Linked DNA regions of Medicago truncatula. The protein of the gene in region 2 interacts with the protein of the main gene of each other region in a pairwise test. Links are inferred from orthologs where the notes say so. Each region holds a gene or a part of one and is shown on either strand. Other genes may lie near its edges.

What was found. The genes of interacting proteins can lie anywhere in the genome.
Region 1: the proteins of auxin response factor 2B (region 2) and auxin-responsive protein IAA29 interact in binary tests that used the Arabidopsis thaliana proteins (3 or more experiments, as listed by UniProt). The link is inferred for Medicago truncatula from reciprocal best matches to the Arabidopsis thaliana genes ARF2 and IAA29.

What each region holds. Positions count from the first base shown.
Region 1 is NC_053044.1:52,828,643-52,839,191, reverse strand, and holds auxin-responsive protein IAA29, read right to left. Parts: upstream 4,608-10,549; 5' UTR 4,428-4,607; coding exon 4,180-4,427; intron 3,946-4,179; coding exon 3,707-3,945; intron 3,614-3,706; coding exon 3,523-3,613; intron 3,347-3,522; coding exon 3,283-3,346; 3' UTR 3,123-3,282; downstream 1-3,122. UniProt on the Arabidopsis thaliana protein: Aux/IAA proteins are short-lived transcriptional factors that function as repressors of early auxin response genes at low auxin concentrations.
Region 2 is NC_053049.1:44,354,988-44,366,143, forward strand, and holds the start of auxin response factor 2B, read left to right. Parts: upstream 1-6,412; 5' UTR 6,413-6,725; coding exon 6,726-6,876; intron 6,877-6,968; coding exon 6,969-7,081; intron 7,082-7,306; coding exon 7,307-7,402; intron 7,403-7,558; coding exon 7,559-7,615; intron 7,616-7,731; coding exon 7,732-7,887; intron 7,888-7,967; coding exon 7,968-8,052; intron 8,053-8,166; coding exon 8,167-8,257; intron 8,258-8,342; coding exon 8,343-8,507; intron 8,508-8,630; coding exon 8,631-8,750; intron 8,751-8,876; coding exon 8,877-9,124; intron 9,125-9,215; coding exon 9,216-10,075; intron 10,076-10,152; coding exon 10,153-10,343; intron 10,344-10,448; coding exon 10,449-10,617; 3' UTR 10,618-10,650; intron 10,651-10,799; 3' UTR 10,800-11,156. UniProt on the Arabidopsis thaliana protein: Auxin response factors (ARFs) are transcriptional factors that bind specifically to the DNA sequence 5'-TGTCTC-3' found in the auxin-responsive promoter elements (AuxREs). Could act as transcriptional activator or repressor.

The DNA.
Region 1 (10,549 bases), on a different chromosome or scaffold from region 2:
CTGTTTAGTTTCAGGTGCTTTCTGATATGTTTTCTATGTGCTAAGAATTGGAATACATAACTCATGGAAAGAGATAGGTAGAAAAGAAGCTCCCCTTAATTGGTGTTTGTTATAGAAACCACTTATAGTGGAGGAAATGATCTTTACTGGATAACAAGAGAGGAAGTGATTGTGATGAATGTTGTTAAGGAAATTATTGACAATGAAACTAGACTTGTTAGTGAGGGAAGTGCATATTCTTGTACAATAATTTCCTTATCAATATTCATCACAATCACTTTTTCTCTTTGTTATCTAGTAAAGATCATTTCAAGATATTTAATTAATGAGTATTTGTTTATAATGACAATGTTAATCAGAGAAACCGAAATGGTGAAACTGAAATGTGCTCCACAAAGCATGCATCAACTTGCGATGTAGGGGTATATTGTATAGTTAGGTGTGTATGTGGTCCAAAAATACAAGTGTAGGGTTACCAATACAGCACAATGTAGTGCTTGGCAAAGTATAGACTTGTGAAGTCCACGTGATGGTGTTGTGTAAATGGCAAATATGCTAAATTGCTATTCACTTAACCCCGCACGAGCAATGGATGAAACAACTCAATCCAGTTCTATATAGTTCCCGTGCAGTGAAGGGTACAAACTCAACTAGTAGGCCCCTAAGGTATGATGGGTCTAATTAATTCATTGCTGGTCCTTTACGTAGCACCAATTACTTCACCCACACCCTACAAGTCACTTGATTCTCAAAATTGTATTAAGAATTGTTCCACCCTAAAAACTGTCCTAAGTAGAAATTGTCTTTATATGTGAATGTCCACTAAACCATCTTAAACTGTTCTTAAATGTTAAGAACGATGCATATAGTCACGCATAAAGTAAAGTTTGAGTCCGGTTAAATAAACTCGGAAGAAAAGGAGAAGATTAAAAATTAATTAAACATTCACATAAACACACAATATTTGTTGATAAGTTTGTACTACTATTTTAAAGAAATGTCAGAGGTGAGTTCAATGAAGAAGAAATCATTTGAGTTTTATCAGTGTAAGAATCAAATTGTCTCTTTTTAATTTTTGTAAATGACCAAATTGTTTATTTTAATTATTGTGATGCATTAGAGAAAACCATGTTAAATTTGTTATTGTCAAAAGCATGTGGAAAGAACCTTTTCTTTGCGTACACAAGTTCTTGTCATAAGTATTGTAAGGTTTTTTCAACATATTCAGGCTTTGCACGTTTCATGAAAGTATTAAGCTAAACAAATACCTAACGTTAGTCCATTTGTTTGAAATATGGAAGAAGAAAAAAAAATCACACTTCACCACCCTATTTCAACTCCATAAGTGATCCTAGCTTCTTGTAATATGCTACATAAATTTCATTCCATATAAAGAATCTCAAATTCTTGTCATAAGTATGTTTATTGGTGGTATGATGTAATGCTGTGATTGGAAACTTTGGAACTTAACCGATATTTGTAGCTATGCCACGGAATACTTCAAATATTCCCTCCGTCCCAGATTATATGACGTTTTGAGCATTTCACACATATTAAGAAATGCAATTAATATTGTATTGAAAATAGATATTATGAGTTGTTTTATAAAATTGTTCTTAATAAATACTCACTCCGTCCCAAATTGTATGTCATTTTAGAAAAAATATTTGTCCCAAATTGTATGTCGTTTACAATACCAATGAAATATTATTGTTACTTTTCCTATTATATCCTTAACTATTTATTACTCTCTCTGCTTTCAATTCCTTCATTTATCTTTCTCATATCATTTATTAAGGACAATTTTGTAAAATAACTCATAATATCTCTTTCCCACACAATATTAATTACATTTGTTAATATGTGTGAAATGGCTAAAACGTCATACAATTTGGGACGGAGGGAGTAATATGAGAAAAATAAATGAAAGAATTGAAAGAAGATAAAGTAATAAAAAGTTAAAGTTATAATAGGAAAAATAACATTAATATTGTATTGGTATTGTAAAGCGACATATAATTTAGGACAATTTTTTTTTTCCTAAAACAAACGGAGGGGGTATTATTTAGGAAAAATAATAATACAATGTTGGGGTTGGACATAACGAATTTATTCATGTTGAACCCCAACCTCGTCTTAACTTCTAAGCCTTATCAACTACTTAATTATAGGTTCAAGTTTTTTTTTTGAAGGGAAATTATAGGTTCAAGTTATCATGCAGATTAGTTAACACGTGCTAAATTAATCTCTCAATTTCATGATTATAGGCAAATTTCGGTTTAAAAACATACTACCTCCGTCTCTAATTATAAGACTCTTTTGAGAATTTTTTTTGTTCGTTTTTATAAGACCTTTTTGCTATTTCCAACTGCATTAATTATTTCTTTACATACATGTCTCTATTTATTATATATTTTTTTCTTCAATCAGCAATAAATAACATGTTAAAAACATAAACCAACCCTCTCTATTAAAGGATAAAATTGTAAAAACAATAGTAATTACAAACATATTTAATATTATCTCCGTCCCTTATTATAGGACCCTTTTAAAAAAATAACGGGAATTAAGATAGTGAATATTTGTATTAAATATGTTTGTAATTACTATTGTTTTTACAATTTTATCCTTTAAGAAAGAGAGTTGATTTATGTTTTCAACATGTTATTTATTGCTGATTGAAGAAAAAGATGTATAATAAATAGGGGCATGTATGTAAAGAAATAATTATTGTAGTTGGAAATAACAAAGGGGTCTTATAAAAAGGGACAATTTTTTTTTCAAAAGAGTCTTATAATTAGGGACGGAGGTAGTACAAATCTTCACTATCTTAATTCCCGTTATTTTTCAAAAGGGCCCTATAATTAGGGACGGATGTAGTATTCTTTTGTGTTATTAAGCCATTTTATATAAAAGGATAAGACTATTTGGCAAATGTTGAAATTTTAGTTTTTTTTAGATAGACGGAATGGTAAAGTCATCATAAACACACACATAAGTGAAGGTGTCAGGGTTTGAATCTGGTCATGACGTCTGGTCTAATAATTTTGACATTTTTATCAACTTATGAGATTGTTACAAATTATTTGCACACACTTGAACAATTACAATATTATTATTAGTAAAAAAATCAAAATTATTACAAATTATTTGTAAATTGTAATTCACTAATTTGACTTCACATATTTTGCTTATGCTCTCTGTAACACATTGAAGGAGATAGTACTCTTTACTAACAAAGTACAACAGCATTAAAGTACAAACTATGTAGTATAGTCTTCGTCAGATAGTTTCACATTCTCCATTCCTCAATATAGCCAAACGCCGCACAGTACCAATAAAGGATCTGCAAAAAAAGTTATAAATTTGATCTTTAGACACCTTACCTTTCTACAATGATGATATTTCGTATTCCAAATTTCTAAATTCTCGCTCCTGATCCAAATAACTGTTGAGTTCATGTGATATAAACTTGTCCATGAAAGTATGTAACATTAATATTTATATAAAACAGACACATACTGCCATGTTATATGGCTTGTAAGCTTCCACTCCCCTTGTTTATTCTGAAATGTGAGTGTATAGTTTGCTCCAGTTTCCTCAAAATTTTGGCCTGTTCAAAATAATAAAAAACAAATCCACTAAATATACCAAAAGCTAAAAAGGAATGGCACTATGAAGTATGAATATATCGCTAGACACTAACATTTAACAAACATGCTAATCAACGAGTCTTTGAGAGTTTGATAAGAGTTGTAAAGCCTCAAATTGATTTGTCTTCCCATGCCAACCCCTTCCATGTTAACCTTAACATACAAAGGTTTTGATCTTCTATTTTGATTTTCATTAGCTTTCCTTATATGTTCAGGAAGCTGCTGATCATGAAATTCTTTCTTCCTCCATGATTTAATTGGTGGCCACCCAACCAAATGGTTTTCTCCTTCACTATTTATACATGTACATCAAAAAATTATAATAAAGGTGTCATGATATTTATAATAAAAAAAATTAATCATATTAGCAGCTAGTTTAGTGCATGTTAATTTGTAATCACGATAAATTTTACAAAGTCAAGTAGCACTGTGATTTTGTTGAAGCTAGAAAGTGTAACTTTTGTCTAAATTACGGTGACACGTTGTAACTTTGTCAAACTCATGGTTGATCCATGCATGAACTTACTTGTTTGATGTGTGAATGCTTCTGTTCTTCTTTTCACTGCGGCCATCTTCTTCATTTGGTTGTCCACTCCATACTAATAGAGGCAAAGGTTTCGAAAAATCTCCAAAAGACTCATCAAAGCTACGTTTGTTTTTGACATACTTTATATTTTCTGAACCGCGAATGTGATTATTTAAATCAGAGTTGTAGGGATCGAATCCTTCAATGGAACTATGAATGGGTAGAGCCAGACCTGACTGAAGTTCCATGAAGCATAAGAAGCTAGGCTAATAGGTTAGAGATAGGTACTTGCTAGCTTTCTAAGAGTAATTGAGATTACTTGACTTATGGGGTTGTGAGTATATATGTGTGTTTGTGTGTGAGTGAAGGAGGGGAATGAAAAGGACTATTGTCTTGTGGAACAAGGATTGTTACAGACAACAAGGAAGTTGGGTCGGCAAAAAGAGTAGCAGCATTATAAGCATGTTGAGAAATGAGAGCACCAATGTGCTATGACCACTTTACTCTCTTTTGTTGGTCTCAATTGTCCACTCAATGTGTCCCCTCATATACATATTCGAATTTCAATTTTCTATAGTCAGCAATTCGCGCATTCACACAATCAGGACGTTGGTGGTCACTTGATCCAATTCGGACGGTTTGGATTGCAAGAGTGGAATTTCAGTTTTAAAAAGTACATTTAAATATGCATTAAAACCTCGACCGTTCGATTTTGATCCAATGATCACCAACGTCTATGACGATGTGATTGCACGAATTGCAAATCCAAATTCATATTTAGTAGTAGTCTCATGCTATAAGGAAGTGTCATATTCATATTCACCAAAATTTGGTGAAGATCATTACTCTGAAAAGACTTTTGGGATTTGGTTCATTAATTGTAAGGAAAATCTAATATTTAAAACAAGGCTTAATTGGATATTTGGTCCCCTAAATAATTATGAGTTTACATTTTGGTCCTATAAATTGTAAAACTCATATTTTGGTACCCTTGGTTTTGCTCCGTCAGTCAAATTGATCCCCTCCGTTAGTTTTTTAATGTTTAAAATTTTTGATATGATATTAGCCGTTTGATTGCATGTCCATTATACCTATAGTGAGCTATCGGCACCTAATTTTTCCAGCACTATCATCTTCTCTCTTCTTCTCCCTCACTCTTGTTCATCATCAAATATTCATACATTCATCACAATTCACAACAACCCATAAAAAAGAAGAATTTAAACCCAAAAAATTAATAAAAAATTTGGAAACACACAAATCTTTTTTTTTTTTTTCAGATTCTGAAAATAAACCACAACAACAATCAGTTCTCATTTCTCCATCAATCTGAGCTTTCTTCAAATCAAATCCAAATCTATTTCACAAAACCAATCCAGCAAAACAAAACACAACACAATAAAGAAAATTCCGGTGCAGCGCGGTGGTGGGGTCGTTGTCCGGCGCGGTAAACAAAACCAATCCAAATATGTTATTGTTCATTGTCCGGCGCGGTGGTGGGGTCGTTTTCCGGTGCGGTGGTCGCCGAGAAAATTCACCGGTTCGTGGTTTTTCTTTGTGGGTTTTGTAGAGAATATGAAGGAGAGTATGTTTATGGTAGTGGTTTGTCATGAAACAATTTGTGGTGGTCTAGATCTAATAATGAAAGTGACGGTTTGGAGACTAAAATATGTCTCCGATCCAAAATTAAATTTCAGAATGAGATAGAGAAAGAAGAGAGTATGTAGATTATGTATTTTGTTTGACAAAAGATGGCCGGAAACACCACGGTGGGTGGCCGGAAAATTCGGTTGGAAAGGAGGAGAGGGAGAGTATGGCTTTGTTTTGTAGAGAGAGGAAGAAAGAAAAGGAAATGAAAGAAGAGTGGAGTAGATTTTGTAAAGAGAGGAAAAAATTATGGTTTTTTTTTTCTTTTGGATTTTTGTTCATGAATGTTGGTGAAAATGATATGAATATGATGAAGAAAAGTGAGGAAGAAGATGAAGAAAGGGAGAAATAATTAAGTGTTGTTGACTCACCGTAAGATAAAATACATCTGCGTAATCCAATGACCCTCCTTTTAAAAAAATATCAAACAGTTTAAATTAGAATAATTAATAGGATCTATGGTGGACCATTTTTAAAGTCGGTCCACCATAGACATTTGGGGGTTAAAGTTAACAGTTAGGACCTTTTTGATTCGACGGAGCAAAACCAAGAGAACTAAAATGTGAGTTTTACAATTTATGGGACCAAAATATAAACGCATAATTATTTAGAGGACCAAATGTCCAATTAAGCCTTAAAACAGTATGTTTTTTTATGAAAAGATAAAACAAGACACAGACAGATAAGCAGATGCAGAGATATTAATGGTATTGATTATAAAATGAACAGCTTGTGTATTTTGTGCTGGACATGATTGAACATTATGTTTTCTTAATATAATGTTACCCCTTTCCAACCAAAACATTAGTGACAAAATTGTTTATTGCCCTCAGTTACTTGTGATTCTGATCAATCCTGAAGAAATAATAAGAAACTCTTAGCAGCAAATCATAAATACTCTGCTTGTGGTGACCATAAACCTGTAGAAATTAAAACAAACTCCTATTTAGCTATGCAAAAAAAAAAAAAAAAAAAAATCCACACAAATTGACAAGAGTCTGTTTAGTTTGAGAAAAACGTTTTAGTTTCATGTGCTATTTTTACTTCAAATTGTAAAATTTACACTTTGTTTCTATTTCAAATTAAAGAAATGTATAAGAATTAGTAAAAGAAATTGTTTTTACTTCATTATATACAGATATTTTAAAACAAAAAAAAATATTAAAAAAAAATTAGAGACATTTTTACAACCAAAAGAATAGAAAATAAGAACATAAATAATTTTCTTAAGCCAAAGAAGTCCTTAATATTTCGTTTCAATTTATTTTTTGGGGAAAAAACTTCTCAAAACAAGGAAGTTACTATGGACATTACGATTGTACGAGTATTCATGAGTGTTGCGGGAGCACTAACATTCTGTTCTTTATTATTATGAAAGACCTAACTTCCAATATGAAAGACCTATAATAAAAAAAAATGAAATAAAAAAAAAAAAAGACCTAACTTCCAATTTTTTTTTTTTTTATATTTGATATATAAAAAAAAATGAAAGGAATCAGTAGCTCATGAACATATTGATACTTGTTTGTTAATATGTCCAATATGTCGACTATAATGCCCGTCAAACATATCATGATTTTAGAACTCAAGCAAATTATTCCTTCAAAAAAAAAAAAAAGAACTCACGCAAACTAATTGCGTGTTTAATCTACTTATGCACTATGCACATAAAACATTTGCTTCAAGATCATTAATGATCATTTGTCTGCAATGACAATCATAATTTAAGGAGAATTCTTATTTACTCGAGTTAAGCAAAACCGAAAAGGTGAAATGCGCTACACAAAGCATCAACTTTGCAATATATCGTATATTACTATATTAGGTATGTATGTGGTCCAAAATACAAGTGTAGGGTTACCAATAGAGCACAATATAGTGCTTGACAAAGTGTACGTAAACTTGTGAAACCCACGTGATGGTGCATGGCAAATTATGCTATTCACTAAACTCCGCACGAACAAAGGATTGAAAGTTGGAATCCAGTTGTTCTATATAGTTCCCATGCGGTGAAGGGTACAAACTCAACTAGTAGGACCCCTAAAGTATTATGGGTCTAATTCATTGTTGGCCATTTACCTATCATCCATTACTTCACCCACACACACCCCTACAACTAAATTGGTTAAGTGTCTAAGTTTGGCCAGGCAAGATGAAACCCCATATAGATAAGATGTCACTTTCGAATCTCAATTACTAATTAGAGAAATCAAAGCAAAGCATGGCAAGGTTTTGTTCCTGAGTTTGATGGATGAATTGAACCACTTCAAAAGAAGCAATATGCATCATACAGAGCATTAATTATGGTTTGTGTTCCTTGGGAAAGCTTTGCTTTGCTTTGATGACACGTACTGATCATTGTTGTTCTCCTGCATCAGGGATCCTTAAATCGAGCTCAAGCTAGCTATGTAGTCCCAAACTGAATAACTTGACCTGAAAATCTTCGCTAAGCACGGTGGATCCAAGCTCAGCTACCACTTCACAATCTCCGGATATGCACCAATCACCATTTCAGCGACAAAAATTGTTGTTGGAACAAGTCACTTTCTCCAACGATAGTGATATTGTTTATAAATAACAATAACCTATTACAACAACTTTGATTAGTCGATGTTATATGCATATAAAAAGTTGTATTATTTTCAACAACAATAGTTATTGTTGGGACAAACCATTTTTCCCAACGATAACAATATTGTTAAAAAAAACTTAATACAACAATTTTAATTAGTTGTTGCTATATGAATGTTTTTGCCAACAAGTTTATTGTCGCCGAGAAAAAGTCTTGCCAAAAATCTTATTTCTAGTAATGTTGATGTCTAACCTTTGGCAACAAACCTTTCCTGCTCCAATATAACTTAGTGTGAAGGGATTGTGTTGTTGTACAAGGCAGAAAGATCTTAAAACTCAAATAGTGCTTACAAAAAGAACTGCATCTAAATTCCTTTAAAGAGACGGCATAACTTGAACCCAAAACCCTCGAATATAAGACTCAACTTTTTATTCTTTACTCGTAACTCAACGCTCGAGTGTTAAGCACACTTTTTACTAGAAGAAAAAAATTTCAAACATAAATTATGTTTTACCAAATTCATCCTTGGTGAAAATGCATTTGTCATTTTTTAATTTATTTGTGTTTTATCATATATGCTTTTAAGATTTTTAATCGAACTTTTAATTTTTCATGGATTTCCTTCATCGGAAGAAATCTTGACATTATCCAACACTAAATGTGAGTATATTTCATTGTTAGATTTGAACTTTAGTTGGCTACGTATTTGTGGGAGTCTAGACCTTTTGTAGGGATGACATAATAATCTCACATGCGGATATCCGTGAATAAAATCTGTCACATAATAAAATAAACAGGTATTTCAACCATCCATTATTTAATGGATACAAATACATATTTAATGGTATTCGTTAGTAAATTAAGTAAATTACATTAATAAACTTACTACCCTTTCAAGTTCAATAAAAAAACAATACTTAAAATAATATTATATGTCGCTTCAATTCTCCTCTAAAACAAATCAATAGTATTACCCTTTAGTTATGTCTTTTTTAATTAAAGAACTTTGTTTTAGAAATGAAACGGAATGTATGAATATTATTATATTTTGGTAAAAAGAAGCAAATGAATGTGATGAATATTTGTTGTTAAATTTTAGGTAATTATAAAAAAAAACTATTACAAAAATCATTTTAAAAAAAAAATTATATTCATGGATATTTGTATATACTCGTGGATATTTCAAAATCCGTGGATAACCCGCATATCCATGTAGATAAGGAGAGGGCACAAATGTCAATTTTATCCAATGAAGCAAACATGTATATCATAAAATTTGCATCTATGAATATTCATTTACATCTCTACTTATGTTCCATCTAAACCTTTTTCTTCGAGGAAGCTTAATTTGAAGTACTATTTGTTTATTTTTTAAAATATATTCTTCAATCTAAATTTTAATTTGTAGAAAAATAGTCATCCATGATCCATATCCAAATAAAACTAAAACAGAGTGCAACACAAATGGGGCACAAGTATATGCGATTATAATACTCAAAACAACCAAACATTTGAAATTTGTATAGATGTGTTGCTTCACTAATCTAACTAATCATCTTAAAAGGAACATATATATTCTTCATCATACAAGATATCATCTAAAAAAAATAACCAAGTTACGAGTAAGTTGCATTTGATTGCATCTTTTCAACCTTTTTTTATGTAAAAAAAACATTTTCAAAAGTTGTCTTTAAACACATTTTTTTATGGGAAATGTTAAAGAGGTTCCTTAGGGTATTGGTTAAAGAAATGATGAAAAATGATAAATTCAATTTTTTGAAAGTTAAAAAAATTATTAAATGTAAAACTACAATTTTTTGTTTCTTTAACAAGTGTTCTAAGAGCACTTGTTAGTAAGACTTTTATTTTTATTAGTATAAAATTTAGGATGAAGGGATGATATTTCTCTATAAGTTGGAAAATACCTTTAAATTTATTGAGACTTAAAAAGAAAATTACATTTACCTCAGTTTAAAAAGACTGATAAGATTCGAATCCAACATTGTCTCCGTGAGCTTAACTCAGTTGGTAGGGACATTACATAATTTATGCAGGGGCTGGCGTTCGAACCCCGGACACTCCACTTCACCACATTTAATTATGTGAGTTCTAGCCATTAGCCTACTAAACAAAAAAAAAAAAAAAAGATTT
Region 2 (11,156 bases):
TTCATGTCATTTTCGTTATTTTTATCAATTTGCATATATATTTTTAATATTGAAATATATGTTTTTTTTTTCTTTCTATGTGAGTTATTAGTGTTCAAATTTATTGTCCTCCATTTGTGTTTTTAGATAAATTTTAGATTAAATGCTTGAAAATTCATATAAACAGACAAAAAAGGATAAAAGTGACATGAAAAAAAGATAAATAACAAAATCATCATCTGAAATTAAGTTAAAAGGCAATAAGTGTAATTTTACCAAAATTCTATCTATGTTTTTGGGAGATATTGTAATAATATTGTAAACATTTATGATAAACAAAAAAAAAATCAACATTTTAAACGATACGCATGAATGGACTTAAAAACAAGGAACAAAAGCGGGGATGAAAAACTTTCGAGAAACTAAGAGTAAAAAAAGAGGGATGATTAAAACGAAAATTTGAAATATTTATAGTGAGCAAAAACATATTTATAAGGACTAAAATGAAAAATTCATGTTTATACGAGTTTAACCCTGTTGATATAGACAATGTGTTTTAATAAGCAGGAGGTCGGGGTTCAAACCTTCAGCACCCCGATTTTTCACCTTTAAGATGTGAATTTCCAGCCACTATGTACTTGACTAGAAAAACAAAAACATAAAGTTTCTATTTTTTTTTTGGGTAAAAAAACATAAAGTTTCTTTTAATGTATGAAAGTTTAATCGAACGTAAATGTTAATTATCATCTTTATATAATTCGGTATTTCTAATCGAATTTCAGAAGTTAGGATTAATAATAATTTGTTGTTTGAAATCAATTCTTACAATTCTACACAATCTTGTAATCCAAAAAAAAAAATTCTTACAATTCTAAACATATGAGAGACATTAGACAATAAACACAAAGATAACCGAAGAATATTCGATTTGAAATTTGATGAATGGTAGTCAAAGATGGCTCTGGCTACGGTAGGCGACCTCAATGGGTCTCCTACCGTAGGTGACTACATTTTTTTTTTTTTTGGTTTTTAAATTGCTTGTGAGCCATTGGATCTGGAAAGAAGTTTTCAATGCCACAGATGTATATACATGTTGACCCACTAGCAATGTATATTATAATGTTTAATTTTTGTCTTTAATAAAGTAATTGAATTAATAATCAATTTACATAAAGGGTATTTATGTCATAGTTGAAAAAAATATGAAAATGCCCAATAAACTATTGGCGTGCATTATATATGTTCCCATCAAAGTTTTATATTTCATCAATATTTTTGCTCCACGAACTCAAGAAAAGAAAAATAAATATTCAACAAAAATATAGTATCCTTTTTTTGCATATTGAAGTTTTAGTTGGGTATTAAATGGTTAATTAATTTGATGAACGAAGGCATGATTTTGTATTATAATAAAAATTTTAACGCTAAAGACAATAATAGAAAACTTGGTAATACTTAAATTAAATAGGATTACGGCTAATATATCCCTCTAGATCTCTATATATAATATGAGTTTTTCTATCATGTGCAAATTTGCACATGTTAAGAAGTTTATAATTGAAATTTTGCATTGAAATTTATACATTTTGTAATAAATATATAATTTTTAAATAAATAATTGTTGTTTTTCAATAAAAACACTAACTACTTTTAATTGCTTTAACATGTGCAAACTCATATAATATATCTTAATCTATCAATTTTTTTAATAAAAACAATGTTTAATTGTTTATCAACGTTTATTATTATTTTTTTCAAACATAACTCCGATGTCACAGCAGGACACAAAAACACTTATTTGGATACATCACGATGAAAAAATATTCAATGACTAATCAATCTAAAATATATTCTAAACAGTTAATAACGTATGAGAGCTACCAATAATCAAATCATGCGTGATAGCAATTTTTAATCACTAATATTATTTGTTGATTAGTTATTTCATATTTTTAACATTATTAATTCCTTGGTGAAAAAAAAAAACTTTTTTAATTTCAAAATATAAAAGAAAAATTACACAAGAGGTATTACTAACTTAGAGCTGTGGAAAGGAATGGTTTCTGGCCTGGTTTTCTTGTTTGATTGAAAAGGAAAAGAGGAAAGGTACAAATTGAAACTACCTAAAATGACCTTGGCATTTAATTTGTTAATGTAATTTATTTAATATTGATCACTGGCAGCAACAGGTCACTCATATTGTATTGACCTACAAATACAAGTTACCACACCAGCATAAAAAAAATAAAATTGTCAAGACTAGTCTCTTACCAAACAAGACCCATGTTGCTTGCGTACCTTAAACGGCACCGTCAAAGATTACATGGTTCAAGCAGATTCAAAAAAGTTCGTATAATAACTCGGGCGCCATTTACGGTAGGAGAGGTGAATAGGTCTCCTATCGTAGGAGACCGTATAAAAAGACAATTTTTTTTTTGTTGTTAAAATAACATGTGTTTAAGTTAAATTCTATTTAAGTTATTCATTTAACTGCAAGGACAGTGTTGGTATTTCATCTTAAATAAAAAATTATTTTTCCATCTAGATCTGGAAATTGTTAAATTATTTTTTTTGTTTAAGTTAAATTATTTTTGCTTCAACTTCTTTCGTGTTTGTGAGAGGAAATTGTGGCAAGTTAGAGAAGTTTTGTTATTTTTATCATATCCATTCTACCCTTGAGTTTTCACTTGGAGGGAATAAACATGGAACGCATGAGCTTGCTATGAATTTTTCCAGTTTTTCCAACAATGCCAAAAACATCCTTTCTTAAATTTGAATCCAAAATCAATTGCATTTTTATAAATCAATATATATGTTAAAAAAATACAATCCTAGTGGGTCACTTATTGCAAATCTCAGCCATTCAAAAGCTTCAAAGTAAATTCAATGGTTGACATCCATTTTTCAAAAAAAAAAAAAAAAAAAACAGGTCTCCTACGGTAGGAGACCTATGAATGTCATGGACCGTAGCCTTTGCCAATAACTCGATCTAAGAAATTTAACTAGACGTGATAATCATAAATATTGTAAAAATGTTTGAGAAATTATGCGTAGATTGATGATGATGTGTCGATACTGTTTCCAAGGTGAACCCTGACTTGGATCTCTTTAAAACACGTTTCCTTAATATTTTGGTGCAAAACTTTAACGTGGCAATGATTTTCATTTATGTATTTATAGAGATTTAAAACTGGGTTGAGCCGTACTTTAAACTAACGGATCCTGCGGTAGAAACAAGGGGTGTTAAATGCTCGTGGTTTAGGCAAACTTGTTGTAAGCGATGCACACGTGGCAATATGGAAAGTTAACATCACGATGGGCAACATCCTTGCTTTGAATTTTCACCTTTTTTTTTAGTTTGAATTGCATTTGATGTATCCATTAAAAGTTGGGTTGATGATGCTTTATCCGTGTAATATATGTGATTTTCAGTTTTTTTTCTATATTTTTTTTTTTTAGTTATCCCTTTATAAAAAAAGTTTGTTTTGGAAAACCCCCTATGATATATATATATATATATATATCACTCAAAAATCTCTCACTAAAATTAAATTTGAGTTTGAGCATTACTATAAATATAACTCAGTTGAGAGTGATGTGATAGTATACCAAAATCGAAACCACAATTTCGAATTCTCATCTTACTGATCTTATAAAGTGAATTTTTACCTATTGAATTACTTGAGAAAAAACGATACAGATTGAAAGTGTGTATCTCAAGGTGAGTAATTGCTTAAATCGTAATCTTTGACTTTCCTCTTACTATCATAAATCTATCATTTACTCCCTCCATTTCAAAATAAGTACTCCATCCGTTCCTTGTATCACTTTTGGAGAAAAAATTTGTTCCTATTTAACTGTCACTTTCAAAGTTCAATGTAACATTAAATGTTGTTTTACCAATATTATTCTTAGTTATTTATTGTGGAGAGAGAAATATATGAAATGACATATTAAATGAATAAGGTCATTATAGTAAAAGTACAGCTTATTGCATCAAAAATAGTATCAATTGTTGATTGTCTTGGTTTGTGTAAAACGTCAAAATGTGACAATTAAAAAGGAATGAAAGTAGTATCATTTTAGCAAAAAAAAATTGTTTCAAAATGAATGTCACTTTCAGTTTTCAATGCAATAATAACTTTTTCTTTTCAATTGTACATTTCAATTAATATTATGTTACATTACTTCCAAAGTATTATTTTTTCTTTAATGAAAAACAAACCAATAGTTGATTAGGATAATTTGGTAAAATTGTTATGACATTTGACTACTTTATTTCATTCCTTAATATATGTGCAATTGACTAAAATGACACTCATTTTGAAACGGATTGAGTAATTTTTTTTTTGTTTTGGTGAAATTTTCCTTTTTATTGCCGTTATTAATCAGCACTTATATGAAATAACCATGGATAGTTTTGACCGTCTGTAGTAAATATTATTAGAGCATCCACAATGAAGACCCTCAAATTGAAGGTTTTAAGCGGATCCCACGTGTACACATCATTTTATTTTATTTTATAATAACAGTACCTAATAGGTACTCGGTCACTCCAATGAAGATCTTATAACAAAAAGTCTAAATAGGTCCCACCACTAACATATTATTTTACGCTTAAATGCTTTTTTGGTCCCTTAACTATTTAATTGGTATCGCTTTGGTCCCTTAACTAAAAAAAAGATTGTTTGAGGATTTTAAGTTTTTTTTTAGTATCGTTTTGGTCCCTTCTGTTAGGTTTCCGTTAGGGTTTTAAAAAAATGTTAACTCCTGGACACGTGTCACCTTGTCATTGGCTCTGAGTTTTTTTTTAATATATATATATATATATATATATATATATATATATATATATATATATTTTAAAAAAAAATCCCAAAGCCAATGGCAAAGTGACACGTGTCCCAAAGTTAACACGTGTCATCTTGTCATTGGTTCTGGGAATTTTTTACAAAAAAATAAAATATATATATTTAAAAAAATTAACTTTTTTTTTTATAAAAAATATATTTTTTTGTAAAAAAAAAAATCTCAGAGTCAATGACAAGGTGACACGTGTCCACACTTAACGTTTTTTATTAAAACCAACGGAAACCTAACAGAAGAGACCAAAACGAGACTAAAAAATACTTAAAATCATCAAACAATCTTTTTTTTAGTTAAGGGACCAAAGTGATACAAATTAAATAGTTAAGGGACCAAAAGAGCATTTAAGTCTTTATTTTAATAAAAAAGTGTGTGTGGACCACTTAAAGATGAGGTCTTAAGTTAGACCTCATCTCTTAGAAGACCCCTAAAAAAAAAATTTACAATAAAAGTACCTATTAGATATTAAATCTTAAATGGTGAAGACTTTACCATTGTAGATGCTCTTATTAATGAAAGGTCCAATTAGTCCCATATTAGGGGATCTTACTAATATTATATGAATTTTTCACATTCGACACGGAATGTTGGAAAATAATTTTGGTAGAGATAATAATATACCCCAATAGAGGGGCAATAATGTTGGTTGATGAGATAAGAAAAGCAATCTCTAAGACGGAAATGGGGGCGACAACTCCTGTTCAATCTTCACGTTTCAGTGCTGCCCTTACTGCCCAAGCGCATCAAACCTCTTATATTATCACAACTCATACAACCGGCTCCTTAAAATCAATTTTTATTTTATATCACTGCCCATACGTTACAAATTTATTATTTATTATTCATTCCAATTAATTAATTTAATCAATTGAATGCATAAATCTAGGAGAAAAATATATATATTTTTTTTTAAAATTAAACCATATTCATAAACACTTGGATTGGATGAAATAATGAAGGGTATTTTATAATTGTTTTAAGTTCAAATATATCATAAAATAAAATACAAGTGTTAATTTTTTTTATAAAGTGTTTAATTTTGTATCATAGTTTTATTCGATAAAAAAATGTCTTGTTAATCCGTACTTTAAGGACAATGGTTAAGAATTTAAAAGAGGAACTAATTTATGAATTTTATATAAAAAAGTTTTTATTTTTAATTTTTAATATAGTGAAAACACAAGTTTCAATAAATTTTTTTTTCCTTAGACTCTTAAAAAAAATTAATCTTTACAATTATGCGTAGAAATATTTGATAAAAAATGTAAAAAAGGTGAGGAAGTAACAAGGGAAAGTTAAGTAACGCGGATGGTGTTAAATGCACCCTTCTTACCCGTACCCCATTACACTGCCCGTCCACAGCACGACAACGCCATTTCCCAATAAAAACATGACAACTTTCCCGCGACCGTTAAGACAAACGCCGTTACTTTCTCCATCCAATCCTATCTTGACGTCTATTAACACCGTTTATTCTTACCCCCTTATTTCCAATGAGCCGCCTTTTATTTATGGCGTTGTTTGCGTTTCCCTAGCACCAAAACTTCCTCACTTCTGATACCCGGTTGGAAAAGCAGGTAAACCTGTTATCACCGGTTGTATCTCATTTAACCGCGGTTAAAATCATTGACCACTCTAGTTAAAGTCCTCTCTTCCGACACTCCTTCTGGTCCTCCTGCTACCATTTATCATCATCATCTTAGAGAGAGAGAGAGATAAAAATAACAAAACAAAATATTGAGAGAGAGAGAGAGATAGAAAACTTAGAGAGAGAAAGTGGGTAGTTGAACGAGTCATCGTCAATTGAAGGCTTGTTTCTTTGTTTTTGAAGATCAAGAAGAAGAACGTTGTTGTTGTTGTTGAGTTTTCATGAAGAGTGGATGTTTGGGATGAGAGATCTGGAAGAAGAAAGAAACATGGCATCATCAGAAGTATCTATGAAGGGAAATTCTGTCAACGGAAAAGGTGAAAACAACGTTGATGGTGTTGGAGATGCTCAAAATGGTTCTTCATCGTCATCAACAGGAAGAGGTAACAACGTTAACGTGGTTTTATCTGTAATTAAGGTTTTGTGTAACAAATTATGGAGTGATAATGTTTTTTTTTTCTTTTCATTTTTCCAGAAGCTGAAGCTGCACTTTACAGAGAACTATGGCATGCGTGTGCTGGTCCTTTGGTAACAGTTCCAAGAGAAGGAGAACTTGTGTTCTATTTTCCACAAGGACATATTGAACAGGTAACACAAACATTACCTATTTTCCGACAATTATCTTTCATGGTTTGGTTCTTGTTTTCTTTAGTTAAGTTAGCTACCGGTTTATCTGTGTGTCAACTCAGATTTGTCACACTTAACTCGTTTTGGTTCCTAATTTAGCAGCATCTGGGTTTTTTCTTTTTTATATTAGAATTAGAGTTATTATGATGATGATTATGGTGAAATTAACATAATTCCATACATTAGGTGGAAGCTTCAACAAATCAAGCATCGGAACAACACATGCCGGTTTACGATCTCCGACCTAAGATCCTTTGTCGGGTCATCAACGTTATGCTAAAGGTAAATTTTCCTCTTTTCCTTTTTTTTTTTTGAATAATTTAATAAATTCCTTTCTTTTTCTAACAGTAACACAGTTGTTTTGTTTGTGTAATTATAAAATATAATAAAATTATTTATCTTTTAATTATTGATTAATTTTTGTATATTTTTTTGTAGGCGGAGCCAGATACTGATGAGGTGTTTGCACAAGTGACTTTGGTACCAGAGCCCAATGTGAGTTTTTCCACTAATTTTCTTTTGGTTTCTTTGGTTTGGAGTAACAAACACAGCATGTTCTTATTTTTTTCTTTGTGTGTTGTTTTGGATTGTGGATCTGGATGATATTGTAGCAAGATGAAAATGCTGTTGAGAAAGAAGCTCCACCTGCTCCTCCGCCGAGATTTCATGTTCATTCGTTTTGTAAAACGTTGACCGCATCTGATACCAGTACTCATGGTGGTTTTTCTGTACTTAGACGACATGCTGATGAATGTCTTCCTCCTCTGGTTTGTTCTCTGTTCCCTCTTCTTCCTCCTTCTGTTTTTCCATATGGATGAAATTGATGGTGTTTGTTGTTTGGTGATAGGATATGTCAAAGCAACCACCTACACAGGAATTGGTGGCCAAGGATCTGCATGGGAATGAGTGGCGTTTTAGGCATATTTTTCGCGGTAATTACTAGTCCATCTTAAACTGTTGACCACTTGATTTATTTCTTATTAATTTTTGTTCATTTTTTTTTTTTTTTTTTTTTGTGTTTGATGTGTGAGGTGAATTGATTTCAGGTCAACCGCGTAGACATTTGCTGCAGAGTGGTTGGAGTGTTTTTGTCAGTTCTAAGAGGCTGGTTGCTGGGGATGCATTTATATTTCTGAGGTTTGCTTAGTTGTTATAACATCATTTTTGAATTAGTGTTTTTTTGTTGTTGTTGGTGATTTTGACTAATTTAGGATTTTTCCAGAGGTGAGAATGGGGAGCTTCGAGTTGGTGTCAGGCGTGCAATGAGACAGCAGGGTAATGTTCCATCCTCGGTTATCTCTAGCCATAGCATGCATCTTGGTGTTCTTGCAACTGCCTGGCATGCTGTTTTGACTGGGACCATGTTCACTGTTTATTACAAACCCCGGTATGCAATTTGTTCTTAAACCATGTCTGCTCTGTTCTAACTATTATCTGATTTGAGTGTTCTTTCTGATTTATTTCCCTAGGCATTGAGTTTACACCGTTCTTGCTCATGTTTCTTCTGCAGGACTAGTCCAGCGGAGTTTATTGTTCCGTATGATCAATACATGGAGTCTCTAAAAAATAATTATACAATAGGCATGCGGTTCAAAATGAGGTTTGAGGGTGAAGAGGCTCCTGAGCAAAGGTGTGAATGATCAAAACAATAATGTCTTTTTTCTCTGTTTAAGTTTTAATGTTACTACTGCTTGCTGGTTATGTCCATTTATTCTTTATCTAATGGTTTATTTTGATTTGGTTTTTGTATGTGTAGGTTTACGGGTACCATTGTTGGAATTGAAGATTCCGACTCCAAAAGATGGCCAACATCTAAATGGAGATGTCTCAAGGTTAGATGGGATGAAACATCTAACATACCTCGTCCTGAGAGAGTTTCCCCTTGGAAAATAGAGCCTGCTCTTGCTCCTCCAGCTCTAAATCCTCTTCCAATGCCCAGGCCTAAAAGGCCCCGTGCTAACGTGGTGCCGTCATCCCCAGATTCTTCTGTTCTTACCCGCGAAGGTATTGTGAGAACTTGATATTTCTAAGAATTCCTCCTTTGCGTTGTGGTTTTTGTATGAAGCCTGATTTGTTTTTGCTGATCAATTAACAGCATCGTCAAAAGTAAGCATGGACCCTTTGCCCACTAGTGGTTTCCAGAGGGTCTTGCAAGGTCAAGAATCATCGACCTTGAGAGGAAATTTGGCTGAAAGCAACGACTCTTACACTGCAGAGAAGTCTGTTGCGTGGACTCCTGCAACTGATGAAGAAAAGATGGATGCTGTTTCTACTTCAAGAAGGTATGGTTCAGAGAACTGGATGCCAATGTCAAGGCAGGAACCAACGTATTCGGACCTTCTGTCGGGATTTGGTAGTACCCGTGAAGGCAAACATAACATGCTTACTCAATGGCCTGTAATGCCACCTGGTCTGTCGCTAAATTTCTTGCACTCCAATATGAAAGGTTCTGCACAAGGCAGTGATAATGCAACTTACCAAGCTCAAGGGAATATGAGATACAGTGCATTTGGTGATTACTCAGTGCTTCATGGACATAAAGTTGAAAATCCACACGGAAACTTTTTGATGCCACCACCACCACCAACACAATACGAGAGTCCCCATTCCAGAGAATTGTCACAGAAACAAATGTCTGCAAAAATAAGTGAGGCTGCAAAACCAAAAGACAGTGACTGTAAGCTATTCGGCTTCTCGCTTCTCAGTAGCCCAACTATGCTGGAGCCTTCATTATCTCAAAGAAATGCTACAAGTGAGACTTCTAGTCACATGCAAATTTCATCACAACATCACACATTTGAAAATGATCAGAAGTCCGAACATTCAAAGAGCTCCAAACCAGCAGATAAACTAGTCATAGTTGATGAGCATGAGAAGCAGTTGCAAACTTCTCAGCCTCATGTTAAAGATGTTCAACTCAAACCTCAAAGTGGTTCTGCTAGAAGCTGCACGAAAGTAAGTATCTGCATTGTTATTGTTACCTTTTTGACGAAATAAACGAGTTAGTAATAACGAAATGATTCTTATTTAAGGTTCACAAGAAAGGGATTGCGCTTGGTAGGTCAGTTGATCTTACAAAGTTTAGTGACTATGACGAATTAACTGCTGAATTGGATCAGCTATTTGAATTTAGAGGTGAACTAATATCTCCACAAAAGGATTGGCTTGTTGTCTTCACTGATAATGAGGGTGACATGATGCTTGTTGGCGACGATCCATGGCAGTAAGATCACCATTTATGGTTCTCTGATTAGCCTTTTTAATTGATTTTTTTTTCCCTTTCTTAAGGATGACCTTATTTGCATAATTTTTGTTTACTCAAATTCAGGGAGTTTTGTTCAATGGTTCGCAAAATATATATCTACCCCAAAGAAGAGATTCAGAAAATGAGCCCGGGTACACTGAGTTCAAAAAATGAAGAGAATCATTCAGCTACCGATGGTGGAGATGCACAAGAAACTAAATCTCAGCTGAATCAATCAGCTTCAGATAATTGATTATTTGGTAGATTGGATTTTCTTAGCATCCAGGTGTGACATCACTTCCTCGTTCAATAATGTTACCTTGTACTTGCAAACCTTTTTCTACATTTAATGTTGCCATGTATGAACACTGACAACTTTTCTTTGTAAAATCTCATATGGTATGAACATTGATCAATGTTTTGTTTTATCCACAGATTCCGGATTTTGGAATGGAAAGAAGTAGAGGACTGTCATAAAGCCAGCCAGCCAGTTAGAGAAAATGTGTATGACCTGAACAAGTAACTTTTTAATTCTGAAGAGTATGTGTTTGGAATCAGAATATGGAGTAGAGTTTCCATCCGATTTTGGACCGTGTCGTGGATTTAGTGTTAGTAGTATATTTATATATATGACTTTCCAATTATAATATATAGTCCTAGTATATATAAATAGTATAGTAAGTAATTGTGTCTTGAGCTAGGCAATATGGTATGGGGTGTATTGACCTGCATTTTTCATCAATCCTTGTTCATAGTTTCTTTTCCATCTCTCTAGAAGACAAGAACCCCTTC